Linked DNA regions of Arabidopsis thaliana. The protein of the gene in region 3 purifies or fractionates together with the protein of the main gene of each other region. This does not show direct contact. Each region holds a gene or a part of one and is shown on either strand. Other genes may lie near its edges. The genes, in order: AT4G22380, AT5G20160 and U2A'.

Region 1 (3,752 bases), on a different chromosome or scaffold from region 3:
GAATTGTCTCCTTCGCTCGATAGTCTTCCTTCTTATCGTCATTCTCTTCATCTTCGCTCTCTTCCTGATCTGATTTCTCTTCATCTATGCTCTCTTCCCAATCTGATTCCGATTTTCTTACCCTTGTGTAATGCTTCAAAGTGCTTCGATGTGAGTGTGATAGATCCAGATGAAAACTCGTATTGGTAGAACCCTTTCGAATTGACACGCGAGAATTCTTCGTGTAAATTGAGCATGAGCTAAAGCTATTTATCCCTGAACATAGTTTAGATGAAAACATTGTTTGCGTAATTGACATATATGAGGATGCCATTGCTTGTAAAATGGAGGATGGTTTTGCTGACTACATAAGATTGCAATACTTTATAAAAAGCTTTGTGAAGAACATAGATTTTCATTTGTATAAGTGAAGTCTGGAACAAACGAATAAAAGAATGTGTTTGTTTGTGGACAAAGCAAAGCGATGAAAAATGTAGCAAGTGTTGGAAGATAAGAATAATTTTCGATTTTTTCGTAATGGGACTTAAGGATAGATCGTTAGTGTAATAAATAGACAGTTAAAGAACCATGACGGCTCTTTACCTGTTATGTCTCAATACAAACCAAGCAGTGCTTGGCAAGCACCAAAATAAAAATCTAAGAAACTCAATTGTACAAATGAGCGATGATGATCCACATACTAAGCATTAACACCAGTCACAATACATTCTTCAAATAGGTAAATCACACAAACTAACTTCAGTCAGAGCCATTCCACATTGCAGAGACTCTTCATACTGAGCAGAAATCCTTAGATCAGGAGCTTCTCAATTGCATCCTTGAGATGCTGAATCTGCGATTTCAACTGGCTTGCCTCATTCGATGTCACTGAACAAGCAATAACAGGTCTTGTTACTCCACATGCTCTTCCCAATGCTTGTTTCGAAGGTACAAACACATATGGCACATTCTGCATTTAGATGGAGAGTACAAAAAAGCGTTAGTTCAAAATCAGACCACGTAATAATTGCTTGTATAGTAATGAAGCTTGTTCAAATAGGATAAACTATAGCTATGATGAATCATGTCTTCCTCAAGAGTGAACTCAAAGCTACAATTTTTAAACATAAACTAGGAGAAACTATAGCTATGATGAATCATGTCTTCCTCAAGAGTAAATTTGAAGCATACACCAATAATTACATAGATACAATGATTCAATTGAAGACCAAAACAGAGTAAACAGAGAAAGTTTCCTGAAAGAACTCAACAGAGAAAAGTATGTTCAACACAAAATTGCATAAAGCTAAGAATGGCTTCTTAAGCTTCTAACAACCACCAAAATCTGAGAAACACTAACCTAACGATACACAGCCTCAAAAATTGCAACCTAATAGCTCTCTATTCTACACGAGTTGAATTAAAATTGCAACCAAATCATCGAGAGAGAGAAAGAGATGGTAACCTTATCTTCGGCAAGCAAAGGAAGATGAAGAAGAATCTCAAGTGGTTCAGCATCAGCAGCCATAACAACGAACTCAGAGATTCCACGGTTCAATGTTTTGGTAGCTTCATTAGCTCCCTTCTTAAGCTGCTTGTAGTTAGTAGCTTGTTGAACAAGATCCATTATTGTTATCGAAAGCTGAGAATCTGCTAACGGATACGCCTTAGGGTTCACTACCTCTCCCGTCATCTTCTTCGTTCTCAATAAGCTCACAGAAAGAAATTAGGGTTTTTGAAGGATTTGAGAATGTTTACAAATCTGTCCTTAACCCAAAAAAAGAAGAAGGTATATATATAGAAACATGACTCGGGTCGGGTTTTCGGGTTTCGCTTCGGATTGGTGAATCTGGGACCAAACCGACCTTTGATGTCGGTTATTTCTGTCTTATTTCAATTATTTCGGTTTAGTTCGGTTTATGTTTGTCCAATTTGGACTATTTGACATCTCTTTTAAATAAACGATGTTGTGTTTAGGTTTAGCTATAGACGATTTACGTTCATAACATTGCGTTCTCTAAACTCTAGTAGATCCTCTTCATCAACAATATTTGCGACTAGATTTACTTTTGATTGAGATTGATAGTTTCAAGTCATATCAAATTGCAAAAGACCATACTGATAAGAGTTTTACATATAAATTTCAGTCGATTACATATAGAAGAACACTATCTTATTATTTCCTTACGACATCATACTACGTACATAGGGTTAAGCTTATTAGTACTAAGATCTCACATGGGTTTAGGATTTTGCCATATCCTTTCCCCCTGCCACTGCTACTGTTACTGTACCTGAAATCAAACACAGATCAAGATTTTCTTCTACATGTTTCAAACTCAAAAACACTTGAAATAGTCAGATTTTAGATAAAGCTCCTAAGCTTGTTTATGTTAAACTATGATAAGATTGGAAATCTCACATCGAAAGAAAAGAAGATGCCAACTTAAGGAAATACTCAAGATCTTTAGATCCATTTCACTTACCTTAATCTAATGTTTGGGCTCAGAAGTTTCCCTTGCTTTGCTCATAGCTTCAGCTTGAATCCCTTGGACAGAAAACCATCCCTGAGAATGTAACACAAGATGTTTAAGCATGTTGATACGGTTAAACCCTTTCTACAATTCTTCATGGAAACAAACTGCGTAAGAAAACACTAACTAGAGAAGGGCATACCACCTTTTAGTACTCTTTGGCATCATCTTCTGATCTTTACTGCGCTGAGCTTGAGTAGGATCTCCTTTACATCCCAAAACAAGGCTACTCACGAGGATGTCTGCGGTAAATGAACTATCACACTCTATTCCGGCAGTTGTAAGACTCTGACTTTCCAAATCAAACCACATGAGATTCGCCGCATTGTTAATCTCCAGCAAAATCTTGCTCCTGTCCTTGGAACAGATCAGAGGTCTAATGAACTCAACCGATTCAACACTCTCTGGTTTCGGCACCCTATACAGCTTAGTCCAAGATTTATAATCCTCATACTCTTTCAAAACCCAAACATCAACATGGCTATACTCGTCGTAACACATCAAACAAACGCAGCCATCTAACACACCAATATCCATGTTATCTTCAATGTAAAGCTCCTGTGGGAAACTGAGGACTCCAATGTCATCAGAGGCAAGATCATATTTGATTATCGCGTTAAAGGCAATGACTCCCTGCCTTCGAGGCAAAATCCAGTGAAGATGGTTGTTAACAACCACACCATAGCCACGACGAGGCAAGAGATGGTAATAGTACGAAATCCAAAGAATCTGAAACTCGAACATAAGACACACTCTCTTCCACGAATTCTTCTTCAAGCTGAAAACTTTGACTTCAACAGGGCAAGGAAATTTCTTTTTACCTTCTTTAAGCTTACACTGAACAATCCTCACAACTTTAAAGTCATCGCCCACAGAATCATAACCCAAACCGTAAAACACATACTCACGAGTGATGTCACGTTCTGGGAAATCAATTGGCTCAATTGGTAAACGGTGAATCTTCCTAGTCGAAGGATTAAAGATCGCTAGATCAACAGGAGAGTTACATAACCCTATGACACCGTTAAATGAACCAAAAACCTCTGTAAAACCTCCGGCTTGTAAAGGATGAGGGATGTCGGAGACGTTCTCAGGCGAGTCTAGCTCCACCGTGCGTAGAAGACGAGGTCCTCGGAGTAAGATCATGAGATGTTCTCCCGTTTCGAGTCTGCGACGGAGATGAGATGAGACGAACTCGGGACTGTCGATCAAAGAGAAGCAAGGCTTTGAGAGGACGCG
Region 2 (3,752 bases), on a different chromosome or scaffold from region 3:
ATCAGAGCATAAGTTCATGGAGAGTCTTCATATGAAGAGCACAATCGCTGCCTTGCGGGTTTTGAAGGAGATCAGGAGTGGAAGTTCTACTGTTAGTGTGTTTTCATTGCCGCCTCTACAGTTAAATGGCTTAGATGAGACATGGAAGAAGATTCCATTGTTGGAGCAAGAAGCCAAATAGAGAGTGAGACAGAGGCACACTCGCTCTATTCCACTTTTTTATACAATAGAAGAAGCTAACAGATTAAACAAGACATTATCATCAATGTACACAAAAAGGCAGAAGAAACTATAGGATCATGTTTCTGGATATCATCTTTGGTCGGTCATAAGTCCTTAGGTTACACAAAACTGCAATGTAACTTTGTTTCTGTGTTGGGTGTGTTGTAGTTGATGTAATATATACCACTTCAGATTAATTATTGATTTCTTCTTTTCCAAAGTCATATGCTAGATATTTCAAGTTCTCTACTACTACATATACAAGTTCATAATCCTCTTCAAGAAGAAATGATGACTGCAAATGATACTAGTGACTCGATCTCAATTCAAGGTAAGACTTTGCATAATGCAACAGACCAATTGATTTCGTATTCAATCTCAATTCAAGTCCTTCAATTTTTATTTCAATTTTTTTGTTCGTTTTGTGATAGATATCAAAACAAGTTCTTATAAATAACACAATGATTCGCTACAAACCAAAACCAGAAACCAACACAAATTCTTAAGAAACCAAGTTGCAGAAAAGTGAATTACGTTACAAACTTGAAGAGAAGATAGTAGAATAATGGACGGTTTTTGATTTGGTAGTTGCCTAAACAAAACTTCAGTCAAAGCCTTCCCATTCGCGGAGACCCATCATACCGAGCAATCAATTCAGAGAATGCCTTAGATCAGAAGCTTCTCAATAGCATCCTGAAGAAATGTAAAAAAAGAGTTAATGATTAACCAATTCTGTGGAATCAATGATGGTTCAAGGTTATAAAGAGAGTACACAAGTGAGGGCTAAGTTACCTTGAGATGTTGAATCTGTGATTTCAATTGACTAGCTTCGTTAGATGTGACTGAACAAGCGATAACAGGTCTAGTCACACCACAGGCTCTTCCCAAGGCTTGCTTTGAAGGCACAAAGACATAAGGAACATTCTACAAAACATTCACAAAGAAAGTAAGAATATAGAAAACTAGTATATAAGAACAACAAAGCATTACAGAATCAAAAACATACAAGCTAAACAAAATCATAAAAGACAATCATAAAGCTGTCATTTTAAACTCCAACAAGTATGAAATCAGAGTTTAGTTAACAAAATGATATACAAAACTTGGCTGAACATTGGCACAAACTAATCAAACTATATCCTCAGCAAGTAAACTTAATTCTCTTCTATGAACTAAGGAAACAAATATCTCATTTGCTAAATAAACTGGTGTATAATAAAAGAGAAACCCAGAGAAAGAAGAAGTCAAACCTTATCCTCAGCAAGTAGGGGAAGATGAAGAAGAATCTCTAGAGGCTCAGCATCTGCAGCCATGACAACAAACTCGGAGATTCCACGATTAAGAGTCTTCGTAGCTGAAATGAACAAATTTAAATAAATCAGGAACAACTTCACAAACATTAAACTCAATAAATAAGAGAGACAAACACACATGAGTAACAAGCGGATACCTTCATTAGCACCCTTCTTGAGCTGCTTGTAGTTAGTAGCTTGTTGAACGAGGTCAAGAATTGTTATCGATAACTGAGAATCTGCAAGCGGATACGCTTTAGGGTTGACGACTTCTCCGGTCTGCAAGAAGAAACGAAAACAAAAACAAATTAAAACCCAAATCAGACAATCAAAGAGTAAGATTCCTTCGAAAACACTGCAAGATAATACCGAAAAGAAGAAAGAGGAAGAGAGAAGTACCATTTTCAGCTGCGATGTCTAGGGTTTCAGAGAGGATTAGGGTTTTAGAGGCTACGACTTTCTCAGCTTGAATATTCTGAATGATAACTTAGGCTTACGCTGTTACTTATATGCTTGTCGATTTTATACATCTTTTTAATGGGCCTGGGTGATGATATACTTCGGCCCATGTGAACTAACCTTAACCGACAGAACTAGTTTTGACTTTGGGAGTTTGGTTTTTTAGTTTCTTCTTTTGTCGGCGAAATTTTGATTAAAGCCCAAAAGGGTAACCATGACTTCACCTTTGTTCTTTTTGCTCGCATAAAACTGATCGATTATCCAAATTGACTGATAATTTTACAGCTACCACACACACAACAAACTTTTATTAACTGATGCTCTCATTAGTTCAATGAAATTAGTAAACTTGAAGTTACGTATGTGATTACTCTCTTCCTTTACGACAAAGATGCGTTTTATTAGCTGGTTCTGGTGTCTTATGCTCTACTAATTTCTATGGTTGAGCTTTATGGACTTGTCTCCACATTAAAATAACAGACACAATTTGTTCCAAATACAAGACCATATCCATAATCCAAAGAGGATAATATTCTACTCTTTCAGTTTCATCAACAACCCCTTGGAATCTTTTGCATACAGAAAAATGAGCATCCCAAAGAAGTAAAAATCTACAAGAACTGGATATGTAAGAAGTTGACACTCAAAAGAAAATGATCGACACACCCATCATGAAGCATCCAGCGGAGACCCAAGGGCTCAAACGCTCACCTGGTACAAGTGATGACAAAGCAAAGTTAAGCAACAGAATGTTCGGCGATGGAAAACAAATGGCAGTAAAAGTAGGAGGATATAGACTTAACTATATGCCATCATGCATATGCTTAAATAGGAGATCGACCATGGGTTTTAAAGCATTAGAATCTGGTATTCATGAGTTGAATTTATAGTACAATTGTTAGTAGCTGCATTGATTAGTAACGAGTTCTTGCTCCTAGAAAGCCTATCACTACTTTCTATAGAACACATGCAAAGAAATATTGTTCAACACAATGTTTTTAGAAAGGTTTTGAAATCACAAGAGATAACTGAGCTCCAAAGGGGTGAAAAGGCCTACCTATTCTAGCAGCCTTCCAGAAAAATCCTCGAAACCTGCAATAGTAATTAATCAAGCAATTTCTATCATTAATATGCATAGAACAAAGTGATGACTGAGGGCATTAGATGCAAGCTATAAATACAAAAAAAGCACTAGGATGAAGTAACATTTGCAATCTAAAGTAACAATATGCAGAGAAATCTGACAAAGCATCTTTAATTTGGCAAAAGACAATGCTTGAAAACAATAACCGGTGTCAAAGCTCCAAATGTGTTAGTGTTATCGGTTTTGAGAATAAAATTCACGAAAAAGGAGAACAAAGAAGGTACAAACCCAGTTTTCTGCTCTAAAATGGCAGGGAACTGCATCTTCAGATATGTGCATGTGCAGATCACAAGCAGCACCACCGTCAGAAACGAATGGAAATTGAACAAAGCTGACTGAATTTATCAAAGATAAACAAAACTCTTAGCTCAAAATCACTGAAATTAACAAAATTTAACAATGGAACAGAGAAGGCAATAACTACCATTGTATCGGATCACTGAAGCACTTGAGAAGCTAATAATTGTTTCCTTGAATCTGAAATAACCAGAAGAAAAAAAACAATAATGGGAATCACATGAGAATCGATTCGAAGACACAGACATGCCCAAGAAGAATCATAACTAAACACATGAAAAACTGAGCAAGTACAATTATCGTCAAAACCTAACAATTTATCACTACCGAGATTTGTA
Region 3 (3,752 bases):
TTTCTGCAGTTTCTGACACTTTTTTAACCTCCTCCCGAGAAACCTTTTTAACTTCCTCTTCTGCTTCTTTGGATGAAAACAAAGATGCAGCTTCAGCTCTCTCCTGTTAGGAACCAATAATGTCAGGTAAAAGGTCTTGCTATAACCATTGTAAAATTTAGATATACAACAGTGGGCTAAAGGATAAAGCCAAACTATTATCCGATCCAAGGCTACAAGGTTATAACACGAGGAAATTAAATAAAAACACCACACCCTACATCAAGTCTGGTTTATATTTATGCCCTAAATACAAAAAACTTTAAGATAATCAGGCAACCAAGTCATCAAGACCCAAACTATATATACTTTAAGCAAACCCTTTTAGCTAAATGTTGTTAATATTAGTGAAATTTCTTATTTCAGCATACAGATATAACTGTGCACAAGAATCTTAAACAACGTAAGACAAAAGGCAGACCAATTTCTTGCTCTCAGATATTCTATTTTTCAGATGATATTAAGGTTAGCTCCCGGTGACTTGTAGCATATAAAATAACATTAAGTTGGCATCTAGGGTAAGCAAAAATGAACAGTTGATAAAGCATATGATAAGGTCCTTACCTTGGCTTTGATTTTAATGAAATCCAGTACTCGAAGTGATTTTAGCTTGTGAATCACATAAAGGCGATAATTTGCCTTTTTGGTGATATTATTATCCAACAAACTAAGGTACTGCAGCTTGGGAATGGAGGCAAGGGGATCAATCTCAACCAAATTCACAAGCCTGTTATTTGTAAGAACCAAAGAGTGAAGCTTCGGTAGGAATTCTGCAGATGTACAACCATACGATAAATACAACACAGGTAACCAACAAAGCAAACAATGTGTTTGAATTGACATTTCTTACAACACACAGATAGATGTTACCTCCAAGGTTAGGATTTATCCGGGTGATACGATTGTTATTGATGAGTAAAGTTCCTAAACGGTTGAGGTATGGGAAGTTTTCTAGCTTAACTATCTCGTTATCAGACAGATCAATGGTATCGAACTGGTCCTGTAAGCAAACCAAGACAAGTTAATTAGAGAACCTCAAACCTGCAAATAATCTACCTAAGCCAAACACAAAATTTATGGGAGGCCTTTCTTAGAGAAGACTGGCTCTCAAAAGTAAAGAATCCACAGTAAGAAAAAGGTACTATTACACGAAGCCACATATACTCCTAAAGAGCTAGAAAACAGATACTAACTAAGACAAAGGAGCAATAGCTACTTCAACAATGTTTCTGTCAATGATTTTCAAAATACTTGAATGCCGAAACCCAACAGGCAGACTTAAGAACATACAATACAACCGCATCAACAAATTCTTCAGCTAACAGACAAAGAGGAAACGAAAATCGATAGAAAAAAGAAATACCTCAGTAGCACCCAAGTTTTCGATTACAGGAATCTTGTTACCTGCAACAAATTAACCCAGAAAAACGAACGATTAACCAGAGCAGGTGCGTTTAGGGTTACAAAACCCTAGAAAATGTAATGGGAAAGAGAAGAAGTGTACCTCGTAGATCCAATTCTCGCTCCTTGATAGCATTGAAGAAGTGAGGACTTTTCCAGATCAAATCAGCCGTGAGCTTCACCATTATTCTACTAGGGTTTTACTGCTTCGTCGAGCTCTGTCGCTGCTAAGCATTCAGAGGAAAGAGACAACAACAGTGGCTAGAGATGACATAAAAACGCAGCAAAATGACCTTTGCTATTAATTTATCACTTAAATAAACGGCCCATTGAATTGGCCCAGTCGGTTAGGCCCATAAGTGTATCCCGATATTTATGATTTTGGAAATTAAAAAGAAAAAACAAATAAAAAGAAAAGGACTAGTGAACGATTGAATCTTTTCTTCTTCGTTGGTTCCAACCCTAATCTAGGGTTACTCTCTCTCTCGCTTCCTTCTGTTCTTCGTTCTTACCGAGTTCCACGAGCATTAGCTTCAGAGACCTTGAATTGGAGTGCGGTTGGATCAAAAACAGTTGAGCGAAGATGAGGATTATGATTAAGGGAGGTGTTTGGAAGAACACCGAAGATGAGATTCTCAAAGCCGCCGTGATGAAGTATGGTAAGAACCAATGGGCTCGGATCTCGTCTCTTCTCGTTCGTAAGTCTGCTAAACAGTGTAAAGCTCGCTGGTACGAGTGGCTCGATCCATCTATCAAAAAGGTAAGTCGTGTTCGCGTTTTCCTTCTCTTAACTAGTAGTGTTCGAAAAAAAACTATGGATCTGGCGAACATTTTTTTGTTTGGGGATTTGGCCTTTTAGGTAGTTTGTTAGCTTGTTACTAGGTGCTTTAGTTGTATATATGTATTGATTTGCATCTGGAAATTCATAGAAAGTGTAGGCAGTAATGCTAGGAGTTTTGGAGTATTCGAAGGTTTTCTTATGTTTTTGAATTACAACTGAGTTTAATTTTGTGATGTTAATGTAGACTGAATGGACCAGAGAAGAAGATGAGAAGCTTCTACATCTTGCTAAACTTCTGCCTACTCAATGGAGAACTATTGCTCCTATTGTGGGTCGTACACCATCTCAATGTCTTGAGAGGTATGAGAAGCTCCTTGATGCAGCATGCACTAAGGATGAAAATTATGATGCAGCGGATGATCCACGAAAATTACGTCCTGGTGAGATTGATCCGAACCCAGAAGCAAAGCCTGCTCGTCCTGATCCGGTAGACATGGACGAAGATGAGAAAGAAATGCTTTCTGAAGCAAGAGCTAGATTGGCTAACACGAGGGGAAAGAAGGCTAAAAGAAAAGCTAGAGAAAAACAACTTGAGGAAGCTAGAAGGCTTGCTTCTCTGCAAAAAAGAAGAGAACTAAAAGCAGCTGGGATTGATGGAAGGCATAGGAAAAGAAAGAGAAAGGGAATCGACTATAATGCAGAAATTCCTTTTGAAAAGAGGGCACCTGCGGGATTTTATGATACTGCGGATGAAGATCGTCCTGCTGATCAAGTAAAATTTCCAACTACCATTGAAGAACTTGAAGGAAAAAGAAGAGCTGATGTAGAAGCACATTTACGCAAACAAGATGTTGCAAGGAATAAAATTGCTCAGAGACAGGATGCTCCAGCAGCTATATTGCAAGCAAACAAGCTGAATGATCCGGAAGTTGTTAGGAAGAGGTCAAAGCTGATGTTACCACCACCGCAGATTTCAGACCACGAGCTAGAAGAAATTGCTAAGATGGGCTATGCCAGTGACCTTCTTGCCGAGAATGAGGAGCTAACAGAAGGCAGTGCTGCTACTCGTGCACTTTTGGCAAATTACTCACAAACACCAAGGCAAGGAATGACACCCATGAGGACACCTCAAAGAACTCCTGCTGGTAAAGGTGATGCTATTATGATGGAAGCAGAAAACCTGGCCAGATTAAGAGACTCTCAGACACCTTTGCTAGGAGGAGAAAATCCTGAGTTGCACCCTTCTGACTTCACTGGGGTCACTCCGAGAAAGAAGGAGATTCAAACGCCTAATCCAATGTTGACCCCTTCAATGACTCCTGGTGGTGCTGGTCTTACTCCAAGAATTGGCTTGACGCCATCAAGGGATGGGTCTTCTTTTTCTATGACACCCAAAGGGACTCCCTTCAGGGATGAACTTCACATTAACGAAGACATGGACATGCACGAAAGTGCAAAACTTGAGAGGCAGAGACGAGAGGAAGCTAGAAGGAGTTTACGCTCTGGTTTGACTGGGCTTCCTCAGCCAAAG

The links.
Region 1: the proteins of U2A' (region 3) and AT4G22380 fractionate together in Arabidopsis thaliana (co-fractionation; one large-scale study listed by BioGRID). This does not show direct contact.
Region 2: the proteins of U2A' (region 3) and AT5G20160 fractionate together in Arabidopsis thaliana (co-fractionation; one large-scale study listed by BioGRID). This does not show direct contact.

What each region holds. Positions count from the first base shown.
Region 1 is NC_003075.7:11,811,251-11,815,002, forward strand, and holds AT4G22380 (Ribosomal protein L7Ae/L30e/S12e/Gadd45 family protein), read right to left. Parts: upstream 1,751-3,752; 5' UTR 1,673-1,750; coding exon 1,445-1,672; intron 950-1,444; coding exon 791-949; 3' UTR 481-790; downstream 1-480. Other genes in the region: AT4G22370 (uncharacterized protein), read right to left, coding at 1-313; AT4G22390 (F-box associated ubiquitination effector family protein), read right to left, coding at 2,507-2,546, 2,656-3,752.
Region 2 is NC_003076.8:6,803,187-6,806,938, forward strand, and holds AT5G20160 (Ribosomal protein L7Ae/L30e/S12e/Gadd45 family protein), read right to left. Parts: upstream 2,010-3,752; 5' UTR 1,917-2,009; coding exon 1,914-1,916; intron 1,794-1,913; coding exon 1,473-1,793; coding exon of another isoform or gene 1,467-1,472; exon of another isoform or gene 1,147-1,466; coding exon 1,015-1,146; intron 916-1,014; coding exon 889-915; 3' UTR 596-888; downstream 1-595. Other genes in the region: SPX1 (SPX domain-containing protein 1), read left to right, coding at 1-181; AT5G20165 (kish-A-like protein), read right to left, coding at 2,776-2,837, 3,031-3,065, 3,180-3,248, 3,346-3,452, 3,542-3,544.
Region 3 is NC_003070.9:3,159,979-3,163,730, forward strand, and holds the start of U2A' (U2 small nuclear ribonucleoprotein A), read right to left. Parts: upstream 1,715-3,752; 5' UTR 1,626-1,714; coding exon 1,544-1,625; intron 1,444-1,543; coding exon 1,403-1,443; intron 1,040-1,402; coding exon 910-1,039; intron 810-909; coding exon 604-809; intron 104-603; coding exon 1-103. Other genes in the region: CDC5 (cell division cycle 5), read left to right, coding at 2,024-2,200, 2,466-3,752. UniProt on the Arabidopsis thaliana protein: This protein is associated with sn-RNP U2. It helps the A' protein to bind stem loop IV of U2 snRNA.